2 linked regions of the Daphnia pulex genome follow. The main gene of each other region encodes a partner of the protein of the gene in region 2 in a complex. Links are inferred from orthologs where the notes say so. Each region holds a gene or a part of one and is shown on either strand. Other genes may lie near its edges.

What was found. Proteins that work in one complex are often made in the same cells at the same time.
Region 1: transcription initiation factor IIA subunit 1-like (region 2) and DNA-directed RNA polymerases I, II, and III subunit RPABC2-like share a complex: the UniProt entries of both Homo sapiens proteins name them as parts of the TBP-based Pol II pre-initiation complex. The link is inferred for Daphnia pulex from reciprocal best matches to the Homo sapiens genes GTF2A1 and POLR2F.

What each region holds. Positions count from the first base shown.
Region 1 is NC_060023.1:6,840,809-6,844,176, reverse strand, and holds DNA-directed RNA polymerases I, II, and III subunit RPABC2-like, read right to left. Parts: upstream 1,576-3,368; 5' UTR 1,418-1,575; coding exon 1,389-1,417; intron 1,314-1,388; coding exon 1,164-1,313; intron 1,102-1,163; coding exon 894-1,101; 3' UTR 874-893; coding exon of another isoform or gene 796-873; 3' UTR 752-795; downstream 1-751. Other genes in the region: ATP-dependent RNA helicase DDX18-like, read left to right, coding at 1-105; LYR motif-containing protein 2-like, read left to right, coding at 418-465, 535-574, 643-740, 796-873; chymotrypsin BII-like, read right to left, coding at 2,595-2,710, 2,776-2,874, 2,934-3,099, 3,190-3,354. UniProt on the Homo sapiens protein: DNA-dependent RNA polymerase catalyzes the transcription of DNA into RNA using the four ribonucleoside triphosphates as substrates.
Region 2 is NC_060018.1:12,590,114-12,594,723, forward strand, and holds transcription initiation factor IIA subunit 1-like, read left to right. Parts: upstream 1-1,576; 5' UTR 1,577-1,699; coding exon 1,700-1,723; intron 1,724-1,867; coding exon 1,868-2,057; intron 2,058-2,100; coding exon 2,101-2,199; intron 2,200-2,270; coding exon 2,271-2,471; intron 2,472-2,543; coding exon 2,544-2,665; intron 2,666-2,744; coding exon 2,745-3,014; intron 3,015-3,084; coding exon 3,085-3,192; 3' UTR 3,193-3,574; downstream 3,575-4,610. Other genes in the region: serine/threonine-protein phosphatase 2A regulatory subunit B'' subunit gamma-like, read right to left, coding at 1-193, 258-394, 457-645, 715-883, 944-1,053, 1,117-1,221, 1,277-1,411. UniProt on the Homo sapiens protein: TFIIA is a component of the transcription machinery of RNA polymerase II and plays an important role in transcriptional activation. TFIIA in a complex with TBP mediates transcriptional activity.

The DNA.
Region 1 (3,368 bases), on a different chromosome or scaffold from region 2:
GGGAACTTCGGGGAGACCCATGGAGGAACTAAGCACCGTACAAAAGCAAGCACATATCGTCAAGTTGGACAGAAACCAAGCGACAAACGGCAATTTTCTCGATAATTTTTCTGACTGTTTTATACGTTGTCCACAGACAATAAATTTGCGTATCCAATATTTTCGTTCAAGCTTTATTTCTCTAAATATTGTAATGGTAATTTTCCTTAAGAGATGGCGGGCGGAATTCGTCGCTCATTTGTTTGAGATGGAAATAAAAATAGTTATTTTTCTGAAGGGTATCGTAGAATTAACCATTAATGAATATTGTCAATAGATCGTGAGATGATATTGATAATAGACTCCTAGAATAAATCACTTCAGTAATCAAAACACTTTCAACTGGTTTTAGTAATCTGAATTTACCCACAAATAACTATGTCTACCATTTCAAGAATTCCTAAAAAAGTGCTCACTCTTAAGCAGGTAATTCCATATTTATAGCATTAACATATCACATTGCAGAGCTTCTGATAAAAAATTATTCTCTCTCAGTTCATGCTTAGGCAAGAGGTTTTGAATTTATACAGAGAAGGTAATTGATTACTTAATATTAGGGTACATAGTTCTGATAACTATTAAACAAGTGTTTTGTTCATCAAGTTCTACGCACAGCTAGAAAAGTAGATAGGCATCAAAAAGACGAAATCATCAAGTGGGCTAGGAGTGACTTTGAAACACACCGATCTCACACTAATGAAGTATTAATTAGTTTGTTTTCATTTGGAATTTATTTCACAGAATTTTATTTTGAAGGAAACAATCAAGGGACTTCTCATCAATGGGAGACAAATGGTGAAAGAATTACAAAGTACAATTAAAAAGACATCTTAGTGTATTATTGTATGTTGGACTCAGTCATTGATTACAAGTTCGTCTATTCCCCAATCTTCATAACTTCCATCAGGAAGATAGCGGCGAATGATTATAGGAATTTTCTTCTGCTTCAATTCTTTCATTGCAATTTGCAGGGGATCTGTTTCGCCTTCCAATTCAACCATGACTGGTGCACACATTGCTATTTGTAATGCTCTGGTCCCTAACACCCGTGCCCTTTCATACCTAAAAATGTAAGACTTGTTTATAGTCTTTCATGAGCTATGCATCTTTCAAGTGTTACATACTTTGTCATGTAAGGTGTTGTAATGCGCTTGGTTTGCAGTTGGCCAGCTCCACCTTCACCTTGCTGAAGTAGATCAATTTGTGCATCATCGTCTGGCTGTTCCATTTCATCCATGTTATCATCGTCTTCAGCATCTTCAAAATCGTCGCCACTAAATAACAGAAATTCAACATGTTGTACATGTGATTAAGAAAAGAAGAAAAACTCCAACTAACTATTAACTTACTCGTCGTTCTCAAAGTCATCGTCTGCCATTATTGTTTAAAGGGTAAGATAATCACAGTGAAAAGTGAAAACTGAGTAAGTTAACAAGACCACGAGATTTCCAGTCAAATTTAAGAGATTTGCATTTGCTACAGCGTGCAGACGATGGTGCCCTAGTCAACCGCCACCGCTTTGTCGAGTTGTCGGCCGAGTCAACTTCGGCGTTCGTTCACCAGGTGGCCTTGCGTCCCTTTCTTGATTCAAATGTCGATTCATAAAGTATACGACTATACGTGTGGACTGTGGATACTTTATGGTTGGATCTCGAATGGACGATTCATGGTAAAATACTAAAATGCATCCATTTGTAACAGGGTATAAGAAAACAGTAATTTAAAATGGAAAATGTCAGCACATCGTTGCTTCGTCGACAGTGTAGGACAGTCCAAATGTGTATTAAATAGCTGGGATATTAAGTTGTCGAACGGTTGCAGAGGGTCGATCTCATCAGAGGCGAAAGTAAACCGGTGGCCGTTAGGAGGACGAGGGCAAGAGATCCTACTTGGGATTTCCGGTGAAGTTAAATGTTTTTTTCCAACTTGTAAAAGATGTAATGTTTTACAGCAATTTGCGTGCTGATTATGTCGCCGTCGTACATGCTCGCACGTAAATGCTTACGCTGGTATCTAATTATTACAACTGCCGGACTGTTAAAATGACTGAGATTTTCAAATTCTGGATTCGATTAGAAAATGTTGCGTTTAATGATTCACCTTGTTTTGAGACTTGTTATTACAAACTAAATGAATAAACGATATAGTAATGTACATTAGTAGGTGGGAGCCCTGGGAGGGCATTCAAATGAGTCGTTAGAACCACGCCGTCGAAAGGCTAATCACGAATACGATTGAAACGAGCATAAGGGGTGTCGATAAAAAGGCGGATGTTCAATGAGTGCCGGAAGTTGATTCAATAATATCCCGGATCTACGTTGAAATGAAGAATAAGAGCTCAGTCTGTTGTAACCGTTTGGATGACCCTTTTCTTTTGGCATCCCTCAGTCGAACCGAACGATATGATCCCGATCTGTTTCCACCTGCCGTCCATCTGTTTGTAATTCATCGATCCGCCACTATCGCCCTGCCATATTTGCATACATTTTAAAAGTAAATTCACTAGGATGATTATGCGTTCACTTACTATGCAAGTTCCCATGTTGTTGGCGCCATCACTGGTGCACATAATGTCCTCCTTGGATGTTGTCGCCATAAGTTGTCCTGCAGTCGTTATTGGAGATGAGCCGGACCGTCATCTTATGTAACACTGGGCTTATACGTGGACTACCTGAATTTTTGAAACATTTAACTTTTATTTTGGATTCTCTCGTCGTCGTATGTTGAACGGAATACCGTCGTAAGTTGTACCCCATCTCGTGACGGTAACCATTTCGTTGACGTAATCAGGTTCGTCGATACCGGAAATTGACAGACACACTGGGCGGATGTACTCTGTACAAAATCTTAAATTTAATTATAATTTTAAATTAAAGAACACGAATTAATGATACGTGAATATTTGACGGCGCTTTTGAGTTTGATGAGAGCAATGTCTCCTGCATCGGTGGCAGGATTCCAGGCACGATGGATGAAGGTTTCGCTATTGGAATACAATTTCCGGTTGCCTTCCGACTCTGCCGTGTGATCGTGAACCCCCAGATAGACGTCGATGTAGGCCTATCTCACCTTTTGTCTAATTCATAAAAGATGAATGAAATTTTCACTTGAACCTCGTTGATAATGATGGAATTTTTACCCTGGCACTACAAGACAGCGAGCGGCTGTAAGGATCCAACGATCGGCGATCAAAGTCCCCCCGTAGGCGTAAGCGTTGCCACTTTGCATTTCCACCTGGAGGAAGGCCTGCCACGGGAATTCGTTTGGTTGCGTCTCTGCTCCACCAACGATCCGGCTGGAAATCGAATCGACCATTACGCAATCGGCGT
Region 2 (4,610 bases):
AAAAGTGTTGAGATGGTTTCGATGATTGACGTCCAACAAACGGAAAAAATACTGAAGTGCTTGTGGTTCCTTTTTATTGTCCATGGCCAATACGAAATCCAAGTACGTTTTATAATCCATTTCTTTCTCATAGGTCATGCACTCCTCGAATACTCGTTGAATGAAAACTCGCGTCAACGTGCCAGTTCCGAATCTGAAAATTAAATTTAAAAAAAATCTTAAATGTACGTACTGCAAATTGAAATATGGTAAATTACCGTCTGAGCTCTTCCTGACAAAGCATGCCGTTTCTGTTGGTATCTAAATTTAAGTATTGACCGTAGACTCTCAGAGCGGAGGGCGCAGAAAACCAGTTTGAATCCTGTGCATCTTTGGGCAGCTCTTCATCCCGTAGCTGATGAATTATAATATTTTTAGCGAGAAGAATGACAAAAGAATCAGGAATATACTAAATACCTCTAAAAGTTCGTCCAGAAAACCAGAAGCGAGAATATCCTGTATCCTGACTTTGCCTAGCTTTAATGGATCTAGGAAAAAGAGGAACTTGCGTACGGCGGTACAGACGTAAAACGAATGGAATGACTTTTCAAGCCCTTCTAACTGTGGCAATGTTGGGATAAGTTCAGTTATGTAGTTCTCTAAATCCTGGGAAAAACAAAAATAGATAAGTAAATTACATATTGCAAAAACAAAAAACATATTGCTGATGTTCACCATTTCAGTAAGCAGACCTTGTCCTGTGGCATCATATAATGAAAGACCAATTCTAGTTTGCTGTAACCAAACTTTCCTCATGATGTAATTGAACACTGCCATGGTTGATATTCTGCCATGAATATCATTCTGCAATAGCCTTGCAAATACATCTGGTGTAAAGAATGCTCTGTATAGGGGAATTCAAAAAATAACTTGGTGTTCCCAATCAAATATTTACATGTCTTACTTATATTTTGGACCAGCTATGTTGCCTACTTTGAGAAAATCAATATAATTGATCATCTGCTCAGAACCAGCAGGAGGGCTGTGATTTTTGTCAAGTAAAGTCCAGAGATTCTAAAGACAGGATGAAAATCTTATTTACCAGTAGCACAAACACTGGCAATGACATTAACAAACCTGCAGTTCATTGTTATCGAGGAGTTCTTTGCTCTTCTTCTGAAGGAATGCTGTTCTAGCTTCTTCTCTCAGTTTAAGGCTAATCATGTTTTCATGATTAGGAAGCTGTGTAACAAAAACATAAGAAATTTATAGGGAATCAATTGGAAGTTATGCTTACTTTGGTATAGAACTTTGGAACTGGCATGCTTTCTTCCGAGCATTGCTTGCTATATTTGAGACCTTCGGAATACAACTTTTGGAAGGTATCTTCATCTTCGGCGTTTAAAACCAAAATCTCGGATTTTTCATCCATCTCGTTGATGAAAATCAACGAATACTGAGACTTAGGCCGCTAATAAAAACGTTTCTTGTTCATTCGATTCAAACGTGTCGAAACGATAACAAACGGCTTTACTTTTAGCAGAAAGAATGTTTTTTTCGACCGCTAGATGCTATGCTTAGCCAAAATCACGCTTCGTGGCGCTGCCATCGGGGGCATTTCGATATATATTGCCGCGTCAGTCTTAGTTTTCATGTCGGCTTCCTGTTGAACGAAGCCCTCCCGGAATTGAAATCAAATAAAATTCAATTTCGTTAAAGAATGGCCGCCAATCAGGCACTCGTGGTATTTATTTACCTTTTACTTTATGATAATATTTCATGGGGAATAGTACCTGGAAACTGTTGTTGCATTGACGATTCCACTCCACGAGCTCGATCTCACTCCTCGTTGGTCTAATTAAGGACTTTTATATTTCTTTTTTTGTAGTCGAAACTGTATCGTGGCGTTATTGAAGATGTTATCAACGGGGTTCGAGAGGCGTTTCTTGACGAAGGAATCGATGAGGCTGTACTTCTCGAATTGAAGCAGAATTGGGAAAACAAATTGCAGTCCAGCAAAGCAATCGACCCTGTGACCGATCCTGCTGAAACTTCTCTCCAAAGCAAACTGCAACAAAGTATCCAATATCGATTATGAGACTTTATCATGTATGAAAAAAGGGTCTTCTTTGCCGTCAAAAGCAGGTCAGCAGGCTAGCTCTACAGCTCCTGCGAACAATTCTACACCTCAACAGGCAGCCACTACGGCAAAGCAACCAGGTAGTTGGGTATACTGTTACATTGAGTGCATTATTATTAATTGTTTTGTTTGTTTGTTTTTATTTTCTCTAAAGCAGCAGCAGCAGCCCAAACCCCAGTGACTACCCCTAATGCAGCTACAGGTGCAGCAACAACAGCAGCAGCTGCAGCCCCTGCTACGACAACAGTAAGGACGGTGCCAGTCCAAATCACTGTTCCTCCTCAGGCTGGAGTAGCAGGTCATACAGCAGCCAAGAGCATCACTGTTCACGTTCCAGCTCATGCTCTTCAAGGTTATTTCCCAATTGAATCTCGTTCGTACTAGCTCCAATCTAATTTCTTTACTATTTGTAATAATGTCACAGGTGGCGCAGCGGGAGCGCAGCTGCAAACGATCCTGAGTTCACCGGCTGTGACGGCGGCTCTCTCTCTTCCAGTTGAAATGGCCACGACTGTCTTGCAGCAGCACATTAATAACGCGTTGCAGGTACCATTGGTTGAAATTGAATCCACTCGAAAGTGTATATAATAATGTGTGTACAATGCATTATTACTTTTCTTTGTAGTCGACAGCTGCACGGAGCCAATCGCGAACTGACAATGGAGGAGTCACACAGTTGGATGGACCCGGAGACTCTTCGGACGACGACGACGATGTTGAAGATGATGACGATGACGACGTGGAAGAAGAGGACGATCATGACGACGAGGAGATTGACGCAGACAACGAAGAGAACGCAGACGAGGAGCCACTCAACTCTGAAGACGATGTGACTGATGATGATCCCTCAGTGTTATTTGAAACTGATAACGTCGTCGTGTGCCAGTACGACAAGGCAAGGATTTGAATTTTAGCATTCGAATTGGAATTGAAATGTTTTAAATGACTTTTTTTTCTATTTGTAGATTACGAGAAGTCGAAACAGGTGGAAGTTTCATCTCAAGGACGGCATCATGAACATTAACGGTCGCGATTACGTCTTTCAAAAGGCCAACGGTGATGCAGAGTGGTGAAAATATTCAAGGTTGAAATTGCGCTACTAGGGGAAAATCAAGATAATGTTTCATTTAATACAATCCGGAGGAATTTCGCTTTCAATTTAAGGATTTTTCGTGTGCCTGTGCGTGTGCATGTGCGGAATTTCTTTTTTCATGTCGGGTGTTGGATGAGCGGTGGAGAGGAAAAAATACCTGGGGACAAAGAAACAAAAGCCATTCGTGTTTGTCCTCCCTCGCTTCTTTTGTTTCGTTTCTCTTTTTTTGTTAACACACAAAACTTTCCGAATTCTTTTTTTGTCTCATCTTTTCCCTGTTCGCTGCAGAAGCTGTTGTCGCCCCCTTTTGATTCAGGAATATTTAGAAGAAGAAGAAAAATATATGTTCAAATTACCAAGAATTGCAATTAGTTTTCGAGAAGATTCTAATAACGTGACCCAAAACTAGTCCAAGACCCAGGGGACAATGTTACTAATTACGGTACCGAAAAATTCTTGTAATCGTATACAGTTGGTGGTGGACATTTTCAATGTTAGTCGGAAGAAATCTAGATTAGGTTGTATACATGGGAAGTCATTCAGGCGAGCGTACGGGGACTTGAAAGCAAATAACCAAGTGGTCAAAAGCTTACATCCGTTTGCAGTCATCACCGGGGAATTGCTCATCCAACTATTGGATTCGGTACACGTTAATGGAGTTTCTACACGATAGCAGCGCGGTAGGAGTTGTTGGCGTCCGCCAAAAAGTTTCCTAGAGCCGTTAAAAGGCAACCAGCACAAAACTAAACGAACTTTGCTGTTGCCAGGACCTTAGGATTCGACCTGCTGGACTCATTATCAAAACTAAAAAAAAAACGAGGGGAAAAGTTTCAACAAGGACGGACTGGGGCGTTCTTCCATCTGCTTATCATGAAAATAAATTCAAAAATTTCTTTTTGAAATGGTTGATGTCACAGGGGAGGACATGTTTCATGTGAATGATATGACATGAACTAGTGAAATGTTTACAGTATATTCAGGATGGCTTTTAATCGCGTGTCACAACATCCGTTCCTAATGAGCGCTCCCAGTCGTTGGGGGGCTGCTGCTGCTGCCTGTAGCTAGCCGGATGGATGGTTCCATGTTTTTCAAGTGGTGACGACAAAAGACGGCCAACCAGTCACGCACATGCTTAAAACACATGCCGAAATGTAACTTTGTTCACGTATACCCCAGCAATTGGAAGGACCCTGTAAACTATAAAAATCATGGAAATAATTTGGTTAAAATAATGACTATTATTTAATGTGATGATGGAAGAACCTAAGTCATTAATTAGAACAAGTAGACCTACTCACCAGTTTTACAAAAAACCATTTCACGTCGCTATGGTGATCGTCCGTGCGTGTATAATTAGACAATTAATTGCCTTTGATTCCATGAAATCTAAATCAGGTC